Danio rerio: one gene and its partners. The protein of the gene in region 2 purifies or fractionates together with the protein of the main gene of each other region. This does not show direct contact. Links are inferred from orthologs where the notes say so. Each region holds a gene or a part of one and is shown on either strand. Other genes may lie near its edges.

Region 1 (3,500 bases), on a different chromosome or scaffold from region 2:
TTTAGATGAACACATGTAATAATAAAATGTTAAATAACATCATATAGTATACATAAATGCAATACATTTTCCTTAAAGTTAAAAATCTAATTTATTTTGCCTGATTACTTTTAAACTGAATTAAACATAAAAATGATAAATGTTACAAAAAACATCACAAATCATGAGTGTTTTCCAAAATCTGATCAATAATAATAATACAGATTTAACATTGCAGATCTTGTGATGTGACTATTGCGGGAGCGCACATTGCAATATCAATGGTAAAATGATATGTTGTGCAGCCCTAGTTTACATGTACAGTAGTAGTGCATCGTAGTGGATGGGAAAATGATGCAATGGTTCTATATGCTTCAACGTCCAATTTAAAAAGCATGTCTCTCTCTCTCTCTTTTTTTTTTTTTCTTAAGTATGCTTGTGAGATTGACCAAATTCTTTCATAAATTTTAAATGTGGCAAAATCAAAGCGAGATGATGGGATTGTTGCTGCTTGGTGAAAATAAAGCCCTTTCACATCAATCACAATATAAACCGAGTTCTGAAAATTGTTCTGTATCTAAAACAACAGCAAAGTTTAAACCACAATTTAAGATGAAGAAAAAGAACACAGCACTTCAGTAGTCATAAACTTGGATTCTGTAGCAGATTTGTGTAAAAGGAAAATAGTTTGCTATATAATTTTTGTCAAATACAAAAAAATGATTGTAAATTGATTTGTTCGTAGGTTTGTGTATATTGCAATAATGTGGACGACTTTTCTAAGCACTAATGACTAGGAAAAAACCTTACTCTTGGAAGCAGCCACACATGAAGTGTTTCTGGGAGATTATGGCATGAGATTTTTACAGATGAACATTGGATTTAGAATTTCTGGATGAAAAGATCCTCTTTTTGTAAGTTATGCAATGTAATATGACCTCAGGAGTCAGTTCCTACAAATAAATGCATAAGCATATCTTTAAAGAATGATAATAATATACTTCTGTATGCTAGGTGACCTATAAGTGCAATATTTTCATTTTAAAACCCAAGTATCTCCTTTGTGCATAAAAAAAGTTACTTTGTATGGAAATTTGTGATTGACATAAGTGTTTTCAATTTGAAATATTAACATGCACAATTATAGGTAATGAAAACACAGCTAATATTTGCTTGCACTTTTTAAAATCTGTCAGGAACGACATGTGGTGATTGCTACATAGGCGGACATGTTTCTTATCTACAACTCAAAATCACTTAAAGGAATGGTTCACCCCAAAATTAAAATTTCTCCTTCTTTTAATCACACTCGAGTGGTTCAAAAATGTTTATAATTAATTTATTTCTTGTGTTAAACACAAAATGAAACGCGTATTCTGGAAACTGTTGGAAAAAGCAGCCATTGAAATCCATAGTAGAAACCAAAAAAGGTTTACCATTGAAGTTAATGGCTGTTTTTTTTTTTTTTTTTTTTCTTCAACATTCTTCAATACATCTTCATTTGTCGATGAAATAAACCGAAACACTCACATTATCAGACAATAATATAATGTAGATATTTATACATATTTGAATTGGCATGGAAGTTTATCTAGTAAAGCCTGTACACTTATAGCTTATTAAGCCTTTCACATGTTGGTTAGGTTAGGTTTGGTTTCTGTTTCTCAGCTCAGTATCAGATTAGCTCTTGTGGTCAGAGCCCTGCACGAATCGAGAAATGATGTCATGCTACTGTGAATTAAATGAACCTGCCTCTGTTTTGGGGAATTATTTCATACTAGACATAACCCTGTCATAGCATGACAATAACATGAACAGTGGCTAAAGCATGAGGCTAAAGAGTCGCACGGTTTCTGTTCTGCTTTTCTTCCTATACATCAGTTTTTTTTTTTTTGTGTGTTCAAAAGTATGTGTTTTGCTTCTGTAGGTGGTGCTGGGGGTAAAGGTGTTTGGGGAACACCTGGAGAAGTTTATGGCGAAGATGAAGTCGATTATAAAGATCCCAATTACGATGCAGAGCAGGTATGACCCACATTGTACTATTGCTTTCGTAAAAGTTCGTAACCAATTAATTGGCATGTAATCCACAATTTTGTGCCTCCAGGAAAACTGTGTATACGAGACGGTCGTCCTTCCTCTGGATGAAGAGGCGTTCGAGAAGACGGTCACTCCTATCGTGCAGGAGTACTTTGAACATGGAGATGCCAATGAAGTGGCGGTGAGATTGTTATGACCCCTATTGCTTGTTCATATCTAATCATTAAGCTTGTTTACGTGCATGCCAATGTGCTGATAAGCAGCCCAGACAGAATTTGCTGACTTGTTTTGCTATTTCTGTGCAGTGTTTGGTTAAAATATTGATGCAAAATGATTTTTAAAGTATTAGATCTGAAAACTTGACAAATAATTATTAAAAACTTTTATTTACTTAACTAAAATATTAACATTTGCTTAACAGGTTTTATTTAAGCCTTACAATGCAATTCCATTTGCAAACACTTATTTGTAAGCAAAGCAGGTCTCTTATATACATGGTGTCAGGTGGGTCTTAAAATGTCTTAAATTTCTATAACTAAAACTAATAGGCCTTAAAAAGTCTTAAATTCACTGAAATATGGTGTTGTAGGTCTTAAAGACTTTTTAGCAGGTCTAAATTTTTCTTTATTTTCCATATAAAGCTACAATCAAAAATCTATCTGAAATTTACAAATGTGGTTTAATTATCTTCCTTACATCCTTACAATAACATTAGTTTAAAAGTTCTTATTGTATTTGTGCATTTTCTTTCTTTCTTTTTTTTAAAGAAAAGTTATGGTAATGAAAATATGTATATAGGTCACTAGAGTTTGCTTGTTTTGACGCATAATTTAAAATATTTTCCTAAGAAATAACAAAATTTTTATTTTATTGAGGCAAGTAATAAAAAAATTCCACTGGCCATTACAAAAATTCCATAGCGTTTTGCCCTCTAAAAGTCTGAAATCTAATTTATAATGGTTTTAAAAATGTCTAAAATATGTCCTAAATATGACTTGAAAAGTGAAACCTGCAGAAACTCTGATGTAATACATCCACTAAAAGACTTAAAATTACAAATTCTATTGCACAAATCATTTAAATGTGCCATAGAGTGCATAGATTCAGATGTTAAATTTTTCATCATAGTAGTTGTGTCTTAGGCCCCGTTTACACTAGTGCGTTTTAGTTTTAAAACGGTGTTTTAGAATGAAAACGATTCGCATCCACACTAGCGTTTCACCCAGCGTTTCTGAACAGCTCTCCGTCTTGCTCTCCATCAAAACCACTGAAAATGCACATCACGTGACCACACACACACACACTGGCATGCGCTGCAGCATATCTACCTGTATGAGAGCTGTGCTTGTTGGACTGCTCATCAAGGATCTCCCGCTGGATCTAATCTCACTATATTTGTTAAATGAGGTATTTAATTCCTCTTGTTATCTATATCTAATGACATATTCCCCGACTTTGGTCTTTTGAATCTATGACTTGTTCTC
Region 2 (4,168 bases):
AATGTTACGTTTACACACACACACATACACACACACACACACGCACAAATTACATTTCAACGCATCAATTTTTTCCAGCATAATACTCACTACTCTTGAGTACTTTTATAAAGGTTACTTTTTACTTATACTTTGAGTAATATTTACAACAGATAACTTTACTCTACTTGCACTATATTTTTGGGCAAGTAATGGTACTTTTACTTGAGTATGATTTTTCAGCATTCTTTTTATCACTGGCAATTAATTTGTCCGGTGCCTGATTTGACAATTTTTTTTCTCATCATAAAGCCAAACTTAATAATTTATGTAAATATAACGATACAGTCAAAAGAAATGACAGGCCTGTCAAATTTTAGTATGTCATTAAAGAATCTCAAAAAACTAAAGAATCTCAAAATGTTTGGAACAACTTATTTATTGAAAAATAAAGGAAAACTAAACACACAATCCTGAGGTGTTCCGATATTTACAACCTTACATTTTATACGTGAATACAGGCCCATAGGGGAGGTTTAAGTGGATCGGAAGACCCACCCCTCACTGACAAAGGTCCAGAATTTGTCCCATACCAAAGCTCATTTATCCCATTTTGACTGCTAAGCCATAATGAATTGTGAAAATAACACATCGAAAAAGTGTTTGAGCCCAAGCCGAATCCTGTTGGCTGTCGGTACAGAATTTGGGATACCGAATTTGGCAATTTTGATGCCAGAATCAGTGTATCAAATTCTGAATGAGAAAGTTGAATGTGCTGGCCAGTTTGTTATTTGTCTCATAAATGATAATGGGCTACACTTTTTTTTTAAAAACAGATTCTTATTTTTTCCAATGATATTTGATGTTATAAATTTCATTCATTTTCTTGTCAGCTTAGTCCCTTTATTAATCCGGGTGTGCCACCATGGAATGAACCGCCAACTTATCCAGAACATGCAAACTCCACACAGAAATGCCAACTGACCCAGCTGAGGCTTGAACAAGCGACCCTCTCGCTGTGAGGCGACAGCACTACCTACGGCACCACCTTTATTAAATTTGTATTTTTAAAATAAGCATATATTTTTGTATATATTATTGTATTATTTCTTTATTCCAAATCTCTTTTTTTGTTACATCAATGTTTTGGAACATCAAAAAGTGTGACCATGCGAAAAGCTGATCCAGAAAAAAAGTGTTTAAAATCCTATTTCGATAGGCTGGCTGCAGGCCTGGAATATGTATTTATTTTCCGTATGCGAGGCTATAATAAATACATTTAGATTATTCGATAGAGACTTTTATTATCGCGCCGTATGATTTCTACCCTTGGCGAATGACCCCGCAGCGCTCAGGTTGATTAACCCGGAAGTACCCACGCATCTCACTGAGCACTCCGTCCGGTTCTGCGGGCTCAAGGGGAGAAGCGCTGAAGCACCATGGCTCTGCTCTAATCGCGTTTATTAAGACAAGTGTGATCAACTTACCGGCAATCCGTCACCATCCGCGCCTTAAACATGGACCTCCAGTCAAGAGGCTCGTCCTGGGGCCATCAGCTCTGTCGGCAGTAACATCTGAAAACTGTATTTATTCTCTTTTTCCCCCATACTGTCACTTTTTCTCGCCTTTGCACGCTACATGGGATTTAAACCTAAAGTGTCAGCCGCTAGCCAACACTTCTCCCTCTGTTTACCCAGATATTCCCGAGGAAACCAAGACGCCCTCCGTTAACAACGAAGAATAGCAAAAAGAAACTTTCCAGAAACACGTTGACGACGTCTCGCCCTCAAGTTTCCCCGTTTGTCTGCGGAGCCGGTGAGTAATCCTACTGCCTATGCTAACTTTGATAGCCGCGTTTAAACCGATAATCGCAGGGGCCAAGCGGGCCTAGATTGACACTGGCGACGGGTTTAATGCTGAGTTGTGTTCGCCTATCAAACTATTTTTTCCGTTAAACGCTCTCCCTTAAGTTGCCACTAATATCTGTGTAGTATTTTCTCCATGTTGGGTGTTATTTCCTCGGTTTTTCGCTATTCCAGTTTCACGCTTTCGTATTGCTCGTGTTTCGGGGTGTCAATCTGCTGACATATCGGGAATATAAATACACGAGACTATTTGACCCCGTAAGGTTTGTGTTAAAATGACATATGAACTGTTGATGAGTCGGTTGTTCTGTTGTATTTAAACGCATTTGTTTCCGTTAAACGTCTTATCATCTCGTGATGAATTGTGGGAATGCCAGCACGAGGACGGTGGAATAAGTTTGTCCGGTGCGTAATTTAACGTTTTTTCCTCATCAAAAAGCCAAACTTTACATTAAGTTGTGTATATATAACGATACAGTCAAAATAAACGACATGCCAGTCAGATTCCAGTGTGTCATTGATTTGGAGAGGGAAGCTAATAAGCTAGTGCGGGCGACTGCACACTTCCCCACACGTTTATTGAGGGCCCAGTTTGTTTTTGCTAAATCTACACATAGTTTCCGACGTGGGTTTATGTGTATAGCGTGTTGTTGATGTGGTTAACTTTTTTGTTCTAAAACGAAAAGCTTGTTTTGGTGGAGACCGCTGAGAGTATGTTAACGTGTCAGTGCCATATGGAGGAGGCTAGCGCTGTTAGCCGCGCCGGCAGAGCATCATGGCTGCGGTGTGACACGTCTGTAGGAGAAGCGCGCTGCTTCATCGCACTTTCGGGAACAGAGCTTGCAGGAAACTTAACATTTTGGAAATTACCCCATAATTTTTTTTTCTTTTTAACTGCATGCACTTTAGTGTTTATGTGGATAACCTGATTAAACATTTTCTGTTTTATGTTATTAACATTATTTTACTACGTTTTTATGTTGGAGTTTCGCTTTCTGCGTTAAATTGAGTATCTGGTCTCTTGTAATATTGTATTTGGTCCTCATATAAATCAGTCTACTGTACTGAATAGTTAAAAGGTTGATAACCACAGATAAGAAGTTTAATGCACACCCAAATCTGTGGAATGACGACCTCAGTTAACATTTACTTTAATGGTGTGGGGGATGGAAGTGAATGAGCGTGCAATGCATCATCGTTAGAGTAATGCTTAAGAAAATCTTTATTCTGTGAACATGAATAACTGACAACCCATTTTAAACAAAGCTTTTGGCTATTTTTAAGCTTGCACGTTTTGTGGATAACACAAAATGCTGGTGTAAATGGGCTTTGAATGGTTTGGTATTGTCTACCTTTGACCACCTCCAGAGGTTGTCAGATGCATTTGATTACAGATTTGTAGTGTCGCTTTTGTAGTGTAAATGCTCATGTGGTCAAAGCATTCAGAAATCCACAAAGCACAGCCTACTTTTCGCCTATTGACTTTTTTGTTACAGGATAGGGTGTAATGTGCTTTAAACTGCTGTCTTCTGAAATTGTAAGTCAATTGACTGAATAAAATGTAAAAGGCAGGACATACTTTGCAGCCTTGATTCTAACACAAATTTAAATAGTGTAGTTTTGCGCTTATTAGAGTAGCAGAAACAGTTGTTTATTTTCATTTTGCATTCATGCAGATGTATTATAGAAACATGGCTTCCTCTACTTTCATCCTTCCATGGCAAGGCGCCACACCAAAATTCACCCCGCCACTACTACGTTACTTCTCATTCAAAACATGTAGTTGTTGTTGGTTTTTGATAGCGGCATATAACCTCATCAAAACGTGTTAAAAGGTGAGTGAATTATAACAGCTCAAACTTTTCTGTAATCATAGGCCCAGTTTACACTAATGCGTTTTAGTTTGAAAACATAAGTTTTGCTATGGATATGCCATCCACACTACGCCAAAGTTTTTGAGTGCCGAAAACGGAGCGTTTTGGAAAAGCTTAAGAGGCCGTTTTCATCCTAAAATGCTGCTGCTTTGTCTCAGTGTTGATGGGGGAAAACAGAAACATCTGAAAACAGAGGCGGGGCTGCAGACATTCGCCTCTCTGATTGAGGCTTTTCCTTAATATTAAGTAGCCTACACACACCGTTCAGTTTTGCATCATCCCCCTGTAAGTTCAGACTACGCAAGTTTGATATAGAAAACAGACCCTTGACAACATGTTGAGAACATGTTGTTTCACTTTCTTAACAATAAAATAAAAACATGAAGGAACTGCTATCCGCTTGTTAAGTGTGACATCACGCGAAGCAGCTTCCGGGTCCAAGCACTCTAT
Region 3 (4,069 bases), on a different chromosome or scaffold from region 2:
TTCAGAATTGAATCTTTTATCCGTTTTAAAAACAAATGTAGATGCATGTTATATACAGAAAGCACTCACCAAATGCCTCTTTTGCTAGTTCTAAGTCTGAATCCTCCTGTAGTTGTTTCACTCTGAGTTTCTCTGCCAGTTCATCTTCTGGTGTGAGTGGTGTGTCTCTTTTTGTCTCCTCTAACTGCTTTAAAAATGTAATGTTGTATACATTTAATGAAAAATATTCTTACAAAATGAATAGCATTTACAATAATTGTTGTACTATAATATATTTTAAAATCTAATTTATTCCTGAAATGTCAAACTCAAAATCTCAGGATCATTATTGCAGTCACATGATCCTCATTCTAATATGATTTGCTGCTCATGAAACACTTATCATCAATGTTTTATAATCAGCTATATATTTTTTGTTAAAACTGTGATATATTTACCCCAAAATCCTTCATGAATGGTTATAGTTATAATACAAGTTCAAAGTTTGTAGCCATATCAAGATAAACTTCAACAGTGACAGCAAAATAAAAAAATAAAAACCCACAATGTGAATTAAATGTGCTTAATATCAATAAATTGTTACTGCGCCAACTTACTTGTTTTCTGAGCTCCTCTTGTTTTTTCCTTTGTAAATTTTCCTTTTCTTTTATCTTTTCACTGAGTTTCTTTTTTTCTGTAGGTTTAGCCTCTGCATATGAAAAATCCAAACAAAATCGCATACAAACGTTACAAACTGAAGTACCTGATCAGGGTTTCTGCAGGTTTCATCCATTCAAATGTAAGAGTTTTTAAGACCCCTTTAAGACATTAAGAATGACATTTTAGACTTATGCAGGGTTGAGATTTATCCTAATGGCCTGGTATTGTCCTGAGGAATTGAGTAATCATTTTTAGTTTTTTTTTCTCCTGATTAGGCCATTTAATTTGGGGAATTTTCTGTAAGAAATGGCTAACAGCTGTTGGGAATGTATCTTTTTGCAATAAAAAAAACTTTAATTTAAAAAATAAGGTTTTATTGAGACACATTGTGGATGATTGGATGGATTTCGGTTGAGTAACTTTACTTGGACAAAACAAAATTAAGACCTGTTTAAAATTATTTAAGACCTAAAACACAATATTTGAGTGAATTTAGGAGTTTTTAAGGCCTAAAATGTAGTTGAAATTTAAGACTATTTAAGACTTTTAGGACCCTGCAGATGCTTTGTAATTATGTGAATTTAAATGTGGATAATTTACAGTCTTTTAAAAAAATATTTTTAAAATAGTTTGTATATTCATGCATGTAGATTTATTTAGTTATAGAGCCAACTACAAAATAAAAAAATTCATAACAGACGTCCCATTTTGGTGTGCAGATATACACAGTTAGCATGTCAAATGAGATGATGTAATATTTCAAATATTATTTGTGAAAAAAGCATGTCGAAATATTGTGAAAAGGGTTTCTCGTCATTTAGTGTAATGTATACTTATTTTGACCTGTACTTAAAACAAATTAACTTAAACTTTATGAATTTTTAAAAGTATTAAAATCTATGGTAAATAGATACTAATAGATAAAACCTAGTAGTTCTAGTATTTCTCTTGGTTTCTCAATACTTTATTATTATTAAAAAAAAAATTTTTAAATAATTTTTGCTTTGTATAAAGTTAGTTTTATGTACTTTAAAAACTTGCTTTATAAGTAATTGAACTTGGTTTAAAGGACAAAGGCGAAATTACAAAGATTAAAAATGACAGTAAGTATTTTGAGGCTTCAACGTGATTGCTTAAATAGTTTAATATATCATCAAATTATTATTGTTCTTCACTGATAGCCTCATGGTCACTGCGCAACATATGCTTTGATGCTTCAAAATCCTTTTTGGCCTTTGACCCCATTTTATCCTAACAATGCACTTTTCCCCCAACTCATGAACATCACTGTACCTGTCTTTTTTTCCTCCTCTTCCTCCTTTTCTTCCTCTTCATCATCATCCCAATTATCCTAAATGGAAAGGAAGAATACTTTTAATTAATAAATTAGTCCACTTCATCTTCGTTGCTAGCCTAAGAGAAGCATTAACATTCTCAAACTTTCCTTTTATGAAATCTCCTTGGGATGATCCAATAATTTTAAATAATCAACAGGTGACAATCTACAGTGACATGCTGCTACAAAAGGCCATCTACACTAACAAAACTATTAATTGTAATTAAAGGCCTAGAGAAATGGAACTGACTCATATAATTACTATAATTTCACTGTTTAACTTATGACAGCGTATTTAAGCAGGTATACACCAAACTAAATAGACACGTATTAGGACTTATCACCACGTTGTTTTGACACTCTTGAGTTAGCAAGAGTAGCTAGCTAAAGTTAGCCAACTGTAATGTCTTGATATGTAGGGATTAAAGAAGAGTTAAAACAGTTTTTTTTACTTGAGAACGACAAATTAAGGGTTCGTTACTAACTTTCACGTCGTCGTCCTCATCCTCGCCCTCCCATTTGTCATGAACTGCCGCCTTTTTGATGGGCTCCTCAGGCTCGAAACTGTCCGCATCTGGAAAACGACCGATTGTTCAGACAGATCACTTAATGACAGGCGTATTTTTGGCGTACGTTTATCTGGTAGAAAAGATTATATGTTTCCAAGCGAATAGAAGAGAAAGATAACGGTGGAGTTTAAGAAATTCTCACCCCAAGAATCGGCGTCCGCCATGATGTCAGAGTCGCTGAGGGGAACGAGAGAGTGAAGCTCAACTCACTGCACCAAGACTTCCGGAAATTTCAAAATAAAGGTCCACCGATGGACGGTAGGGAAATTTTACAAACAAGTAAATTGTGCAGTACCATGAGGAATACCATTATCAGACATTGTTAATTTTTTTAACACACAATCAAATAAAATGTCGTTTTGTGGCTTTTAGATTGTGTATTAGTTCAAGACAATCATTTGTTTGCTAACTGTAACTTTTATTAGATTGTGTAGTGTGTGTGATCTAGTGCGGCTTCTAGAAAACAAACAAAAATATTGACTCATCCTGCACTACTGATTTTGTCCAATTAAATTGAGTATATGTACATTGACTTTTAAGATCTGAATTCTTTTTTTTAATGTGATCTTTACTTCCTGATTGATATATGAAATAAAGTTGGTCTAGACTGGACAAGAAGTACTGCATTAAGTTGATTTCTTGCGTTATGTCTTTAAAATATGGAAATGTATTTTCTGTGGAGTTTCTGCACTAGCACGCTTCTACTGATGACACTTGCGTTTACGCAATCGTTCATCTCGTTTTACACTTAAACAACTTAATAAATGATTAAGTCTATTAAACTGATTGTATTTCAATTACATTACAACATCGATGCTATTAAAGGAACCTTATAGACGAATTACCATGTTTTTAAACATTCAGGATGCGCGCGCAGGGAGTGGCAGAAAAAAAAGGGGAGCGCTAGCATTTACAGCGAGGGAATGACATCCGATGCGGAGTTTGTTGACTTAGAAGTAAGTTATACTGATTACATATTATATATATATATATATATATATATATATATATATATATATATATATATATATATATATATATATATTATTATATATATATATAAATATATATATATATATATATATATATATATATATATATATATATATATATATATATATATTATTTTTTTTAATATATATATATATATATATGCATGATTTACATAATGCTTTCAACGTATTATAACAGCTTGTCACCCAGTGATAAGTACAGTGATTTGGCAAAATTAACGTTAAAGTGAGTGATGTGAGTCGCGAAAGCACCCTCCCAATGAATATTGGATAAGACGAAATGGCCAAGCATCCTGCCCCAAATATACAACTCTCTCATCGAAGCTCCAAGTGTTTTAACAAGATTAAGAAATAAGTGTAAGAAATAATGTTCCATGATTACCAGATTCAAAACTATGTAGTGCTAAAAACAGAGGTTCTGCTTGGCCAAAGACAAGGAAAGCAGACGGAGCCAACGTTAACTTACACATAGAGGTAAAGTTGGTTTTATATTCACACATTCTGACTTTCTC
Region 4 (4,114 bases), on a different chromosome or scaffold from region 2:
ATTGGTGGTTTCCTAATTTAATATTTAAAAATAACTTTAACATTGCTTCATATTATCTTATGCAGATTTTATTATATAATGAACTTCATTCATTAATTCATTTTCTTGTCGGCTTAGTCCCTTTATTATTCCAGGGTCGCCACAGCGGAATGAACCGCCAACTTATCCAGCAAGTTTTTTATGCCAGCCGCAACCCATCTCTGGGAAACATCCACACACACACATTCACACACGCACTCATACACTACGGACAATTTAGCCTACCCATTTTACTGCATGTCTTTGAACTGTGGGGGAAACCCACACAAAGGCAGGGAAAACATGCAAACTCCACACAGGAACGCCAACTGAGCCGAGGTTCGAACCAGCGACCTTCTTGCTGTGAGGCGACAGCACTACCTACTGCGCCACTGCCTCACCTGTATAATGAACTTTTTATAGTAAAACAAAATTCATTTAAAACAGAATGGAGTTACACTAGTAAAGCTGCACCCTCTGCCTTGACTTGTTTATTTTCATTTACCTTTTTTTTGTAGATCAGCAATAAAATAATCAAACAAACCAAGGTTGCGTTAAATTAGAAATTAAGATCTCTGTTAAAGGCAATTGTCCCAACCCTCCCTATCAGTCTCTCTTCTCAGATGGGATGGTGGGCCAAATCAAAGATTATCAAGGGCCAAGTTTGGCCCACATGCCCTAGATTGGATACCTCTGGCCTAAATGATATGTTATTACAACAACTAGGCCTATAGCAAAACAAGTTGCCCAATAGCCTGTGGTTAGTTATATATTAGGCTACATGATAATACATCACAATTTACTGTTGTAAAACTAAAATATACTACAGTTGCCTACACAGTTTATTATAGATAATGCAGTAGCATTTATTAGCATGTGTTGTTAACTTAATACTTTATAGTATAGGCCTACAGTATAATAAACTTTACTATCATTTGTTTCAAAAACACTATCGTAGCCAATTTACTATGAATTACTCCATTATCTTTTCATGTGCGTTGTCTTGGCCATGTTTTCATCATGTCTAAATGTTTTGGATTGCTGCCATGTGGTTAGCTGATCCGATTTTTGGCATTAACATGCAGTTGTGTTGCTATTAAATTGTCCATTGAAAAAATGGATATGTACCAAGCAAACCTCGAAGAACTTTAACCTGACCCACCCACTAAAACTTTACATGCTGTGTTTAATTATTTATTTGATTATAATTTTTTACACATTATTTTGTCAGCCACCTACATCCGCTAGGGGGCGGCAGCGCGAATCCCACTGACGCGCTCTTCTTCTCTGTTTATCATCATCTTTTACTTCCTCTTCGAAATCATGGCGGTGCACGGCCCGGTCGTGAAAATCCACCCGGTGGTTTTGGCTTCGATTGTGGACTCATACGAGCGCAGGAATGAAGGAGCGAGTCGCGTGATCGGGACATTATTAGGTGGGTCATTGAATTCTTGTGTGAGATTTATGAGACAGTTGCGATTATTACAAACAACATGAGCGTCGCTTGGTCTTGTGGAGCATGTGTTGTAGTCGAGCTGAATGGCTGGGGTGGATGAGAAACTGTACAGATCAGCAGCATCACTTACCTGGTGGTTGTGTTTGTGTGTCAAACAGGAACAGCAGATAAACATTCAGTCGATGTCACCAACTGCTTCTCTGTTCCTCACAACGAGTCTGAAGATGAGGTGAGAAAAAAAGCATCATCTAATACATCCTTTACATTAGTGTGTGCCAGACATTTATGTAGCTTTTTAGGCATAACGAAAAACAAAACAATTTCACATCACAGGTATCTCACTGTAACTTTGTAATGGTCTAAAGGGTTCGAGTGAGACATCTGTGGTATTTCATGTTCTGTTGTTATGCATCTTTAGCTAATTGATTGGTTGAAATACACTTACAAACCATCAGCCAAAATTGAAGTGAGGTAAAGTTGATTTTATATTTGCACATTCAGACTTTCACCTTCTTAATGTAATTTCAGAAAGGTATTCTTTGTCAAATCCTAAACGGTCAACTCAAATTAACAGCCAGTGACTATTAAAGTACAACATTGTTTACAGTCAGTTAAATGGTGCTAATGTGGATTTAAAGTAGGCATGGGCCGGTATACAATTCTGACGTTAATATTCTTTAATATAAATATCACATTTTCACAGTATTACATAGTGATTACGGCTCTGCTAAATGGTAGCGCTCCAGTTTTTTTTTTTTTTTTTACTGTTTACAAACTGGTAATTCATCTATAGCAGATAATTTTGGCGGTTTTAAAACATCAGTTTTTTTTTTAAATCACTGTGTACCTTGAAAACGGTTATCGTCCCATGCCTATTTTGAAGTCATGCATTTCAGACCGATTATTCAATGTAGCCTGGTAAACAATGTAGGGACCTTTCATAGAGTTCATAAGCTTTTTTTTTTTTTTTTTAACTATAACAATTTGCTAATTTATCTGTATTAGCCTTTTCCCAGAGATGGGTTGCGGCTTGAAGGGCATCCTCTGCTTAAAAACTTGATGGATAAGTTGGCGGTTCATTCTGCTGTGGCGACCCCGGATTTATAAAGGGACTAAGCCGACAAGAAAATGAATGAATCTGTATTAGCCTCTTTAAAATTTGCTTTACTATTTTATTGAACACGAGTGTCTGAATGTTCAAATATAAAACCAACTTAATTCAAAAGTGTCATGTTACATGCTACTGTATTTTTGGACATGTACCATATGTTATTTATGCTTTACTAAGGAGCACCAGCATTTAATCATCATCATTGTGCAATTTATTTACCTTTTAAAATTATTTTTATTTTATTTTTTTTAAATAGGTGGCTGTTGACATGGAGTTCGCCAAGAACATGTATGAGCTTCATAAGAAGGTTTCGCCGAGTGAAGTCATTGTTGGATGGTATGTGGCCGCATTTCCAAATTAATATAATTCTTTTCTTTGCTAAAGTTTTGTTAAGTTATTGTTGTAAGCACATTTTTTGTTATATTTTTAGAAGGTTTAGAAACTTTTGTGAACATTTGTTATTTTTCATTTAATGCATTTTGCTTTGCGCTATGGTAAAATAACTAAAATAAGAAAATTAAATAAAATGATATTTTTTTCTCCTACAGTCCCATGATTTATTTTTGCAGCCATTTTAAATGTATATCTCATGTTTACAAGTTTATATTTCACAATTCAGATATTCATTTCATTTTCATTTGTTGTTCTTACAGTTCAGTTTATATTGCTACTCTTTTTTTTAAGTATATTTGCCTTTTATTCCATTGTAAAAGCAAGCTTCCATTAGGCCTGTCACGATATATCTAGTTTTTGTTGTACGGTATATTGCACCAAAATACATTGCGATAAATGATTTTATTGTGATTTTAATACCATTCTATGCCACTCATTATATAATACCAGAATGACAATATAATATCACCACAATGCAAGTACACTCATACAAAGAACACATAATATTTTATTGTTAAGACTATTTAATTTAGTTATCCTATGGCTTTGGAATGAGATTGTAAAAACGCATATCATAAATAATAATAAATGTTAACAAAAAGGTGCAAGGCAAAAAGTAACAGAAGCTGTGATATCTGCTAGCAGATCTATTTTTAGTTGTCAGACACCCACATGAAAATCTTCTATAGCAATTTATAGTAAAACCTGTAGAGCTTTTTAAACCATACTGACACCTCAATAGAGATCGAGATGTTGCAAAACCAGCTGAAATGTTGCTAGAATTCATTTTTATGTATGGGCGATATATATTGCATCACTAAAAATGTCTGAGGTCATGTCAATATAATATGACACGGCTTATCAATGCGATAAGTTCATATATTGATTACTGTGACAGGGTAGCTTCCATAATGTAGGTTATATCTATATATCAAAAAAGAATAATTATACAGGTAACAGAATTATTAGAACTTAAAATGGAAAATATTACAAAAATGACTATCTAAAATATTTCAAAATATAATAATAGAATCTGATTTCAGATAAACTTAAGGAATGTTGTTTCACTGAAGAAAGAGGCTGTGTTGTTTTTGCAGGTATGCCACAGGATTTGACATCACTGAGCACTCGGTTCT
Region 5 (4,266 bases), on a different chromosome or scaffold from region 2:
AGTCAATGGTTACAGGTTTCCAACATTCTTCAAAACATCTTTTGTGTTCAACAGAAGATAAAAACTCAAAGGTTTGGATTTGGAATCTCTTGAGGCTTGAGAAAATAGTGAGAACGTTTTAATTTTGAGGTAAACTTATCTCTTTAGAGTGATTTCTATCTGATTTTAATCAGATTTCAACTCGGGAGGGATAAACTTAACACACCAAAGTAGAGTAAATAGGTTACTTCATTTCATTTATTCTAAAAATGCCTGAGAACATGATATGGATTAGCATGTTTGTCAGACAGCAAATACTGGGTTGTAATTATATGTAATGTGATGTGCAGCACTGTGACTTTTAACATAAGCAGCTCATGATAACAGTGTTTTTAGACTCAGTGCACCTCGGTTCACTGTAAATAAATCCTGCTCTTCTGAATGCCGTCTTCGCGAATGCTGCATTTGAGTCTGAGTCGCTTATAGACCATTTCAATGTGGTCATGTCATTGGCCCATGAACATTTCCTGCATGTTATCAAACTATTTCATAACTGTAACAAGAGGCAATTCAATCGTAACTTGATAAAATAGCTGTCATAACATCATTTATCAATATGTGGCTCTTTTTGGATTCTCGAAAGCTACAGAAATAAAAAATGTAAAACAGGAAATACATTGGGACTATTGTTTTTGTTTACGTCCCATAAAATGGTCTATGATGTGCATTTGAAAATGTAACTGTGATGGAGTATCTTTCCAGGCTAGTCAAGAGAATCTGTTGATTAACAGAAGCATTTCATTATTTTCTTACAAAAATTAAAACAACCATAAATATTAGATTTAATTTTCATTTTAAAAATAAATTAGCATTGCAGATTAGCAGCAAAATAATTGATGTTTATTAACTTTCCATATTGACTATTACACGTGTATACCTGTAGTTATGACCAGTCTTTATAGGAAATAATAATTATATAAACAATGACTACCTTGTATGACTAGTCTAAGTAGTTTCTGCAACCGACCATAGATGATTATATTTCAGTCTTGTTTTGTCATAAAGTAATTCATTTATGCATACTAGACAAAAAAACACCATTCAGTTCTAAATCCGAGTTTCTCAAAATATGCTTTTGTCAAATTGACATTTGACAAAGCTGCATTTGAAAGGCAAATGTATTTGGAAAATGAGTCAACTTGCAGCTGTCCATTAAAGCGACAGTTCACCCAAAACAGAACATTCTGTCATCATTCACTCATCCTCCACTTGAACAAACCTCAATGAGTTTTTTTTTTCTGTAAAAACACAAAAAGGATATTCTGAACATTTTTGGAAATCATTGACTTCCACAGTATATGTTTCCTGCTATGGAAGTCAATGGCTACAGCTTGGCAACATTTTTCAAAATATCTTTTTCTGTGTTCAACTGAAAAAGGTTTGAAACCATTTGAGTGTCTTTCATTTTAGGGTGAACTATCAAACGAATATTAGGGAACACTTTACAGTGAGACGGGCAATACATCTGTTAAAGTATTTATTATTCTTTCATCAATTTACTAAATAAAAATTTAACTGATCATTGTTAATGCATGTAAATGACACAATATTACAGGGTTTCTGCCGCTTTCAACAAGTTAAATTTAAGATTTTTTAAGAAGATTATGAATGAAATTTTAGAAATATACAAGGCTAAATGCTAAGGATTTTTTTTCATTTGAATATTTTTACCTTTTGTCCACTGTATTTAAATTTAATAATACAATAATAATAATTTATTGATGAAAATATATAGGTCAGGTCAGTATCCTTGGCAGTAACTTTTAAACAAATGTTACTGTAAGTAATAATAACTTTATGGTATAAATGTTATTTTTAAAACGACTTTTATAGAGATTGGGAATGTATGGCTGTTAATGGCTAGATTTGGTCGCTACACATGAACAAGGGAAAATTAAGACCTGTTAAAAAGATTTAAGACCTACAACACGATGTTTCAGTATATTTAGACTTCTTAAAGCCTAAAATTTAGCTTTTGAGATTCAAGACAATTTTAGACACAGCAGATACCCTGTACTAGGATATGACTAGTAAGTTATATTTTAAACAAAAGATAGAAAACATTTTAATAAACCTTCATTTACATTAAAATCACCAAATGCTTTGAAAGCATTTCAATTGATAGTCCACATTAATTACTACAAACGTATGCAAAGCGATCAATCGATACTCCGACACACATATTCATGTTATTTACACAACCGGCCACTTTTGATAACGATATTAATATTGCATAATGACCACAAATATTAATGCAATGATTATAATACTTTAAATTAATATAAAACGATTCCTTGTTGATAATTACTCATCTAATCGACTACTATTGGGAAGCGATGTATGAACTCAAGGTTATTTTATTCTTCGGTTACAGTCTGTTCCCATGGTGCATCAGGAGCCGAAACTCACCCTTCGTCCTCCTCATTTTTACTGGCATCAATCTTGGAGCCCTCGGCTTCTCCCTGTCCTCCATTATCCCCCGACATCTGCTCTTCGCCGAAACCTTCTCCATCATCATTTTCCTCCATCTTCATCGTCGGGTCTTCGCCCAGAAACTGCTCCTCCGACATATTTGATCAACTATTGGCGAAAACACGCGCGGCTACAGTCGTTTCTACAGACGAAAACGTCTTAGGTCGTAACCGAAGCGAAATGCCTATAAATCGTGTTAATGCGGCTCAAATTCGCGTTTGTATTAGTCTGATTTCAGAATGTCGATGGCAACGGCGTCCATTCACAAAATGGCGGAGAACCGGAAGTTGAACGGGATGGCGTCACTAAGGTTACAAAATACGTCAACGTCGCTTCACGCTCATTGGCTGTAGGGCTGGAAATCTAGTTTGTTTATCTCAAACCTTTTAAATGCATAATATTGAATTATTATATGTACATTACATATTTTAAAAAAACTTAGTCATAAATGTTGTATAAAATAATCACACGACAAAGAAACATTGGTTTTCTCAGAATTTTTAATCCCTTTATCCAAAAACGTCAGGAAAAGAACTAAAAATACAAAATAAAGGACACTTTTCCTAATCAAGACTTAAGAACACATCAGCACAAAACCTACAGGTTCAATCTGAACAAAGCACAGAATAAGACAAACTTGGGAAACGAAACACCTCGCTATTTACAAGGTTAGACACTGGATTTGTCCCCAGAGGACCGAATAACGTTTTTAATAGTTGTTTAAGGACAGGATTCCACACAAGCTGCCTCCGAGGAGCAATGTCGAAGTCAACCTGCCCACCTACAAGAGAAGAGAGCAGAGATGAATCACCCGGTTTCCACACCTCGAGCAAAGCACGTCCATGTTTCAGTGTTTAACTTCTTGAGCTGTCGATTTTAAACTAGGAAAACCATCATTAAGGATTAAAGATCATATGTTAAACGTCTCCGACTGACAGAACAGCTCATAAGCCAGCAAAAGCCTCAGCTCCAAGCGGTTTGTGGACCAATCGAGGAGCGAGCCCAAACAGGTTAGCCTTTATCCTGTGTAAACGGTATGGTTATTAAAAACTTTAGCCAATCCTTGAACTGTTTTAAATCAGATTTCTCAGCTTTTAATGGCTTCGTAAAACTCACTTTACATATGATCTTTAAAGGCTATGCTTAAGAAAAAAGCACTGAGGTGTACCCATTTGAAGTTCTCTATGGCCTCTAAAGAAAAAGCAAGCATTATGAGAGAGTTTATGCAATTATTTACATGGGGAGGTAACCAAAAACCAAACATTACAAAGAAATAAATTAATAAATCAATCACTGAAGCTCCACAACTGAAATACAAGAGCACTACAATTGAAAAAAAGAGCATACAACAAAGCAGTTATCAATCACTTTTAGGTTACATTAACAAAGTCCTGGAAAAAAACATTTGGAACTGTTAACGAAAACCAACAACTTAATGAAATGGGGGAAAATCTCCTTTGTTTGTTTGTTTTACGCTGGTACAGGAAGTTGGAAGAGACCATACCACAGGACAGCGCTTTCTCGTGCATGCCGTGCTCTCTGCCCGCTATGTGCGACGCCCAGAGAATGACGTGGTCAGGTGACACACGGCCTGCAATGAAGTCCCCGCTGGCAGGTACAAACAAGGTACAATAATCAGAATTAGGGAAAGAAAGGAAAAATAAGGAGAGGCGCCTTTTACTCTGTACCCTTTTAGCCGTACATTACCTGTTAGCATTGCTATCAACTTTTTCTATGTTATTCCTTTATGATCAC
Region 6 (3,500 bases), on a different chromosome or scaffold from region 2:
ATTTTCTCAATTTCTACTTTTCTACTTCAGGGTGTTGTCACCAACTTTGAGATCTTCAGGATGAGAGAGAAGCAGGTACCTGTTGATGTGGTGGAGATGAAAGGTAAAAAGGGGATTTTTTTGTTAAGAATTTAGAGGTGTTTTTCTTTTTATTACTGTCTTTACCTACCAATGCTTCATCTTACAGACAGCATTATTGCCTTTGCTTGGGAGCCAAATGGAAGCAAATTTGCTGTGCTACATGGAGAATCTCCTAGAATCAATTCATCATTCTACCATGTGAAGAGCAATGGAAAAATCGACCTAATTAGTGAGTGATTTTTAATGGATTTTTCTTAATAAATGTCAAATTTTCAGAATATGAAACCAAAAATGTGTTGTTTTTAGAAATGTTCGACAAGCAACAGGCAAACAGCATCTTTTGGAGTCCCCAGGGGCAGTTTTTGGTCTTGGCTGGACTGAGGAGGTCTGTTTACAATATATACTCTGCTGTATTAATGTTTCAGGTTTTAGATTGTTTTTTTTTTAACTTGTGCTTTTCTTATGTTTCACTCAATAGCATGAATGGAGCTCTTGCTTTTGTGGACACTTCAGACTGCACCATGATGAACATCGCCGAGCATTACATGGCTTCAGATGTGGAGTGGGACCCCACTGGACGATTCGTCGTGACATCTGTCTCTTGGTGGAGTCACAAGGTGATTTTAATATGGTCCAAATGAAAATTTGTTCAAGACGATATTTCCCTTTTTGCTGTTTGCATCAAATTAATCTTACAATCTATTTTATAGAGATAGAAATGCAAAATAGACAAAGCAGTAAGTAATGTAGATTAAAATATTGTATTATTGAAATTAAAATAAAATGTCAAAATATTATTTAAATAATGTTTCAACATCGTTCAAGTGCATTTATTCTGATTTGTTTGGTAAAATAAAAATAAACATAGAATAGATTAGAGAGACTTATAATGACATTTGATTTGTGTTTTGGGGCTTTCACTGTGATCTTTATCAGGTAAAGAACCATATAAAGTTACTTTATTAACATTGATTATATAAATAATAGAAGTCTTATAAAACCTACTAGAAACAAATTAGTATTTCAATGAGTGCCTTATAAAAAATAAACTGTATTTAACCCTTTATATGTCGTCAAATGATTGTTATACATTGTTTTAAAATTCAGTAAGGTGTTTTAAGAAGAGCATTTGTTTGCTAGGCATCCATTAAATGAATTAAATATAAAGACATTTGCCGTGTTGCAAAATGTGTTATAAATAAAAGGCTTTCCATTAATCAAATAACCTACTTGCAATTGCACCACATTAAGGTGCACTTCCTTTTCACGTTTTATGATGATATATATTTCCTGAACATCAGTTAAGCTTATTAGAAGGATTTCTGAGGGATCTTGTGATGAAGAATGGAGTAATGATGCTGAAAAATGACAGGATCAAATTGCACGTTAAAAATCAAATTAAATGTAAAAGATTTAGGTATTGTAAATCAAATGTTTCTTGTTTTGCTATAGGTGGACAATGCCTTCTGGCTGTGGACGTTCCAGGGTCGCCTGCTGCAGAAGAACAACAAGGAGCGTTTCTGCCAGCTGCTATGGAGGCCTCGTCCGCCCTCTCTCCTGACTCAAGAGCAGATAAAGGTGAGCTGAGGGGTCAGACGCAGGGTCACTCTCATTACTTCCTCAGCTCCCTTCACTGTCGACTCTAATCCCTCCTCGCCTTTCTAATCCCACAGCTCATTAAGAAGGACTTGAAGAAATACTCCAAGATCTTTGAGCAGAAAGATCGTCTCAGCCAGTCCAAGGCTTCAAAGGTATGCATCTTTATTATTACTTTCAAATGATTATTTTTATTTTTACCACACTAGGATGCACACATTTTCAAGTTGAGTGGTCCTCTTTAGATTTGAGTGTCTTGTGCTTTATAGGAACTGGTGGACAAGAGACGTACCATGATGGAGGAGTATCGCAAGCACCGCAAGAGAGCCATGGACATGTACCAGGAGCAGAGACCTCTCCGCCTCGAACTCAGAGGAGGTAATGATGTCCAATGTCGAGTTTAATTCATCCATCAGCAGCTTGCTCAGAAAGCACAGGGTTTCAGTGCACTTCTCTTTTCTCTAGATCAGGTTTTTTGTGATTATTCCACGTTGCCTAATTGCAGTTTCTTGATCTAATCTTGATCATTATACTCAGTTGCAGTCAGTTTAATTTTTAGTTATGCAACCTTGTTGTTACTCACCCTAGCTAAATACATTTAAAAAATATATAATTTAGTTAAAAAAAGGTTTGTGTACGACTAGTGTTTGATTGTTTTGCACATTTTTTTATGTATACAGCTAAGAAATAACTTCATTTTATTATTATTATTATTATTAAATTTTTTTTAAAGCAGGTACAAATCTTTTTAACTAGCCTAACTGGGTCATTAGAAAAGAATCCATAGTGTTTAGCCCTGTATAATTCAGAAATTTCATTCATGATGGTCTTAGTCTTACTTGTGACTGGATGAAACGTGCAAAATACAGATTGCTTTTGTAAAGGTGAAGCAGAAAGTGACGAAATAATAAAATATCTTGACAAAATTCAAACACAGGTGGTCATGAGATGCATTTGAACATGTTGATATCAGTTGGAAATGGTAGTGCGTTTCAGCTGGACATTTGTGATCAGTTCCATGTGAAAAATGTTATGTTTGTAGCGGCCCTTTCTTAGAGGTGTACATATGTTGAATGGGATTTTAGTCCTCAATGGATTTTTCTATGCTTTCTAGGCGTGGACACTGATGAGCTGGACAGCAATGTTGATGACTGGGAGGAAGAGACCATTGAGTTTTTCATCAATGAAGAAATTATTCCCATCGGAGATCTGTAATTGCAACAGCAGGTAATGTGTGCAGTGTTATGGCACATCTTTGACATACCTTGGCACGGTAATACTGACCTGATGTTTTGTTATCTTCAGAATTCGTTTTTACTGGAGTGTGGACAAGCATTGGAGAAAAAATTGAGGGATCACCCTATAAGAGAATTCCTTGTTATCATCAGTCAAGTGCCTTTTAATACTGGTCACTGGGGAAGGAGAATTTTGTGCCACTGTTGACTGCTGCTTTTTAATAACAAAAATCATCCAGCTCTGAGAGGAACCGCCCTGCCAACATCATTCTGGCCTGCTCTCGGTGGATCTGATCATAACACGTTCTTGTTCCTGCCGTCGGTTGATCTACCTCATCAAAAGGGTGTCACCATGGCACAATATGCCATAAACTGTTTTTACATCATCTCACTGAAGGAAAACATTTCATTTCCTAAGGTTTTCCCAAAGGCAAACTTGTACTCTAGTGTGCGAAAATGGCACTACAGTGGTCTGTATCCTCCTCCATTCAGATTACCTGATATTAAATGCACAACAAGGGAATAAAGTTTAACTGAAATCCAAACTTTTGTTGTGTTTTTTTTTTTTTTCTTCTGTTGAAGCAAGCT
Region 7 (3,500 bases), about 11 Mb from region 2:
GAATTAATGGTTCTGCTTTTCTTCAAAGCACTTGAACGCACCAACCTCATATACTATTTGAGAAGTTTGGAATGGGGACTTTCTGACATCAAATGCAGCCAGCAAAGAATGTTTGTTCCCACTTAATTTTCAAACAATTCTTTCCGTGTTTTTTTTTTTTTTTTTTTTTTCAATCATTTGAAGCAACAATTACCCCCTCTTTGATGCAATTTGTCAATCTAGGTTTTTCCTGTCGCACAGTGGGTGTTAAAGTTGTAGAATTTTTATCAAAAGGAAATTGTTATTGTTTTAGATTTTTCTTCTATATTATCATTATTATTATTATTTATATATTTTACCTTGTACATTTATTGCTGTTAATGACTTAATTCTTAGAATATTTTTACTTGATCTATTTTCATTTTGCCATTACATAGCCATAGACGCTAAAATGGCAATAAAATTAAAACTCTCTCTCTCACACAGTGTGTTATTACATAAATTTTGAAGTGAGATTAATATCCAAAAACAAGTGACATGCATGTGTACATGCATTGTCATCAGACCTTCCGCATTTAAATCAAGGCTGCACTTAAATCTTGCTTTTTAACTGGTCATTTTGAGGTTGTTGGACTTCATGTTAAGTTCTCAATATTTGTTACAGTCTGTCCTTAGTTTGATTAACCTTTTTTTCAAAATCTTTTATCTTCTTTAACCCTCAAATGGGATCAAGGTAGAGTAAGCTATAGTTCTTGTCAGAGATTTGGTGGAGAATTCATACAAAGTTTTAGTGGACTTTGTGCAGTTATAAAAAAAAATGCTACCCCTGACTAACATCTTGGAAATAAAAAATCAACAAACTTTGATTGATTGACATCGCAGAATATAGAAAGTGATAGCTTAACTTGATGTCTACTCCAAATAAATGCAATAGCCTTAAGTTGGAGAATTTCTAATATTGAAGTAAGATGTTCAACATTTAAGTGTAATCAATCTGATTCTCATTGAATCTCATATACATTGTTTTACAGAGCAACTGGAATGAGATTACGGACAATTTCGATGACATGAACTTGAAGGAAACTCTCCTTCGTGGAATATATGCATATGGTTTTGAGAAACCCTCAGCAATTCAGCAGAGAGCTATAATTCCCTGCATAAAAGGTAAAGTGAGCTCAAGTTACAAATAGTTTTTAATTACCTCTCTGGTAATCAAACTGTACATATTGATCCGGTTTTAGTATTGCTCATCTCTTTGTAGACTAACAGTTAAGTAGTTTCCATTTTTGTTGTCCTTTTATTGATGCTTGATTTCTCCATAGGTTATGATGTTATCGCGCAGGCCCAATCAGGGACTGGTAAAACGGCCACGTTTGCCATTTCCATCCTGCAGCAGCTGGAGATTGAGCAGAAAGAGACTCAGGCTCTGGTCCTGGCACCAACCCGAGAGCTCGCTCAGCAGGTATGCTGTACCTGAGCTCACAATAACACAATAAGATGTGTGTCTCAGACCAAGGCGGCATATTCTGGCAGTAGCCAAATTCAAGGTACTCTTTTGCTGTTCTTCCTGCTTTATCAGTCAATAAATGTGGATTTTGTTTGTAATTTGCATAATTTGATCATCTGTTCAGCAGGAAGCAGTCATCCATGTAGTTTTTCGGGCAGATTAATCGATCAATCATTCTTTAATGAGCTGGATTATTTACTGCTAGTGTTTGGAAATTAGGTTGTTAGACTGCCAGGTGATTTTTTTTGACAATTATTGTAACTGTATAGAGCTTTGCACAAGTATGAAATGATGGTATGACTATCTTTCGGGACTGACCTTTTGTGGAGAAGACCTTTTCAACTGATCATACTTGTCCAGTGCTTTGCATTAATGGTACACAGTACTTGTGTTTACTAGGTGTTCCTTTCATTTAAACTCTGCATTTTTGTCTATGCTTTAGATTCAGAAGGTAATCTTGGCTTTGGGTGACTACATGGGTGCTTCATGCCATGCCTGCATTGGAGGCACCAATGTGCGGAACGAAATGCAAAAGCTCCAGGCGGAGGCTCCGCACATTGTGGTTGGCACACCAGGCCGTGTGTTTGACATGCTGAACAGGCGGTATCTGTGTAAGTAATCGATACACATAGATTTAGTCTGAAACAACATGCAGGGCAAAGTATGAAGTGATGGCATCATCTTTCGGGACTGACCTGTTATGGAGATAATCACTAATTTAACTGATCATACTTTTTGACCAGCTTGTTTGAGCTGTTTAAGCGTATAAGAAGTAAAATACGTAATGTTGTTTACTTCCAGCTCCCAAATGGATCAAGATGTTTGTCCTTGATGAAGCTGATGAAATGCTGAGCCGTGGCTTCAAGGATCAAATCTATGAGATTTTCCAGAAATTAAGCACAAACATTCAAGTAAGTCTAGAATCTTTATAGACCCCTTCTGCTCAAAAGAACTGTGCTAAAATTGCAGACTCCAGGGTCTCCTGGTTTATGCGATGATGCTAGCAGAGTATCATGCGGAAGAAGAGCAATGGCTCTGCGCTGGAAATGAAACTGAGTTGGACCTCTTTCTTAATGTCCAGTGGCTTATGTTTCAAGGCTCAGAGCAACAAACATATTGATTGGAACACATTGTGGAAGAAATACTAGCATCACTATTTTTCTTTTTCTTTCATAATGGCAGAATCATAATCAAATTAACTCTTATTAAAACTGTGTTGAATTGCAAGATAATACATATCAATCTTGAGCTGCACAATATTGTGTTCCACCATTAGTTGTTGTACTTGCACATGCCATGTAATATGAATGCAGGAGATGTCAGTTTTCACTGCTTGTGCTTTTGTAGTTCACTAAAAGACCATATCTACCCATTTAAAAAAAAAAAAAAAAAAAAAGCTTTTTTAAATGGTTGTTTTCAGGCCCCCAGAGTGCCGTTTTGTGAATGAATGTCTCAATCTTGTGCATCTTTTATTTCATATGATCATGTAAAGAACATGGTCATCACAGGATTCATACTAGAATATCTTGAATATAATGGAATTTTAAAATCTCCTTTTCAGACATTAAAAATATGGCTATTCCAATTCATGGGATATCAGGAACCTTTTTTTGCTTTTTAGTTTTTACCACTGTTAAACATTTTATTTTTTTCACATGTTTTGCCAACTGGTACTGTTGAGCTATTTTTCAGCGCCATTTGAATCCTTTCAAATTCATCATTTAAGTCAGTGGTTCCCAATTGGAACCTTACAAGCAAATTACCTTAAGTCACTGGAACTTAAGTCAAATGCAGTCATGAAGCTGTACCTGTTAACTGAAGCAAACATGCCAGGAAAATGTCAGCTTCAAGAACTTTGGCTACGAAATGGCCACTTCAGACAATTGGTCTTATGCTGTGTTCATGCCAGACGTGGATAAAGCTTCGAGTGCAAGTGATTTACATGTCAATTCAATGCACAGTTGCGATTAGGCTCTAGTTGGAAAATCTGAACTTAAGTGGACATTCGTGCTGT

What was found.
Region 1: the proteins of eif4g1a (region 2) and pdcd4b purify together in Homo sapiens (affinity purification with western blotting; 3 studies listed by BioGRID and IntAct, with this or other methods). This does not show direct contact. The link is inferred for Danio rerio from reciprocal best matches to the Homo sapiens genes EIF4G1 and PDCD4.
Region 3: the proteins of eif4g1a (region 2) and eif3ja purify together in Homo sapiens (affinity purification with western blotting; 3 studies listed by BioGRID and IntAct, with this or other methods). This does not show direct contact. The link is inferred for Danio rerio from reciprocal best matches to the Homo sapiens genes EIF4G1 and EIF3J.
Region 4: the proteins of eif4g1a (region 2) and eif3f purify together in Homo sapiens (affinity purification with mass spectrometry; 3 studies listed by BioGRID, with this or other methods). This does not show direct contact. The link is inferred for Danio rerio from reciprocal best matches to the Homo sapiens genes EIF4G1 and EIF3F.
Region 5: the proteins of eif4g1a (region 2) and hnrnpd purify together in Homo sapiens (affinity purification with western blotting; 5 studies listed by BioGRID and IntAct, with this or other methods). This does not show direct contact. The link is inferred for Danio rerio from reciprocal best matches to the Homo sapiens genes EIF4G1 and HNRNPD.
Region 6: the proteins of eif4g1a (region 2) and eif3ba purify together in Homo sapiens (affinity purification with western blotting; 7 studies listed by BioGRID and IntAct, with this or other methods). This does not show direct contact. The link is inferred for Danio rerio from reciprocal best matches to the Homo sapiens genes EIF4G1 and EIF3B.
Region 7: the proteins of eif4g1a (region 2) and eif4a2 purify together in Homo sapiens (affinity purification with mass spectrometry; 6 studies listed by BioGRID and IntAct, with this or other methods). This does not show direct contact. The link is inferred for Danio rerio from reciprocal best matches to the Homo sapiens genes EIF4G1 and EIF4A2.

What each region holds. Positions count from the first base shown.
Region 1 is NC_133197.1:31,553,001-31,556,500, reverse strand, and holds part of pdcd4b (programmed cell death protein 4b), read left to right. Parts: intron 1-1,906; coding exon 1,907-2,001; intron 2,002-2,083; coding exon 2,084-2,197; intron 2,198-3,500. UniProt on the Homo sapiens protein: Inhibits translation initiation and cap-dependent translation. May excert its function by hindering the interaction between EIF4A1 and EIF4G. Inhibits the helicase activity of EIF4A. Modulates the activation of JUN kinase.
Region 2 is NC_133177.1:19,167,769-19,171,936, forward strand, and holds the start of eif4g1a (eukaryotic translation initiation factor 4 gamma 1a), read left to right. Parts: upstream 1-1,368; 5' UTR 1,369-1,562; intron 1,563-1,676; 5' UTR 1,677-1,794; intron 1,795-4,168.
Region 3 is NC_133200.1:34,325,564-34,329,632, forward strand, and holds the start of eif3ja (eukaryotic translation initiation factor 3 subunit J-A), read right to left. Parts: upstream 2,801-4,069; 5' UTR 2,709-2,800; coding exon 2,687-2,708; intron 2,550-2,686; coding exon 2,461-2,549; intron 1,991-2,460; coding exon 1,933-1,990; intron 689-1,932; coding exon 597-688; intron 188-596; coding exon 70-187; intron 1-69. UniProt on the Homo sapiens protein: Component of the eukaryotic translation initiation factor 3 (eIF-3) complex, which is required for several steps in the initiation of protein synthesis.
Region 4 is NC_133176.1:11,701,863-11,705,976, forward strand, and holds the start of eif3f (eukaryotic translation initiation factor 3 subunit F), read left to right. Parts: upstream 1-1,314; 5' UTR 1,315-1,341; coding exon 1,342-1,453; intron 1,454-1,632; coding exon 1,633-1,703; intron 1,704-2,841; coding exon 2,842-2,921; intron 2,922-4,075; coding exon 4,076-4,114. UniProt on the Homo sapiens protein: Component of the eukaryotic translation initiation factor 3 (eIF-3) complex, which is required for several steps in the initiation of protein synthesis.
Region 5 is NC_133185.1:5,488,728-5,492,993, forward strand, and holds the start of hnrnpd (heterogeneous nuclear ribonucleoprotein D0), read right to left. Parts: upstream 2,801-4,266; 5' UTR 2,610-2,800; coding exon 2,449-2,609; intron 1-2,448. UniProt on the Homo sapiens protein: Binds with high affinity to RNA molecules that contain AU-rich elements (AREs) found within the 3'-UTR of many proto-oncogenes and cytokine mRNAs.
Region 6 is NC_133178.1:40,726,185-40,729,684, forward strand, and holds the end of eif3ba (eukaryotic translation initiation factor 3, subunit Ba), read left to right. Parts: intron 1-30; coding exon 31-103; intron 104-187; coding exon 188-310; intron 311-387; coding exon 388-466; intron 467-559; coding exon 560-698; intron 699-1,533; coding exon 1,534-1,659; intron 1,660-1,754; coding exon 1,755-1,832; intron 1,833-1,946; coding exon 1,947-2,055; intron 2,056-2,791; coding exon 2,792-2,892; 3' UTR 2,893-2,904; intron 2,905-2,982; 3' UTR 2,983-3,457; downstream 3,458-3,500.
Region 7 is NC_133177.1:8,053,991-8,057,490, forward strand, and holds part of eif4a2 (eukaryotic initiation factor 4A-II), read left to right. Parts: intron 1-1,010; coding exon 1,011-1,143; intron 1,144-1,301; coding exon 1,302-1,441; exon of another isoform or gene 1,442-1,526; intron 1,527-1,767; exon of another isoform or gene 1,768-1,838; intron 1,839-1,928; coding exon 1,929-2,097; intron 2,098-2,147; exon of another isoform or gene 2,148-2,218; intron 2,219-2,287; coding exon 2,288-2,397; intron 2,398-2,420; exon of another isoform or gene 2,421-2,599; intron 2,600-3,500. UniProt on the Homo sapiens protein: ATP-dependent RNA helicase which is a subunit of the eIF4F complex involved in cap recognition and is required for mRNA binding to ribosome.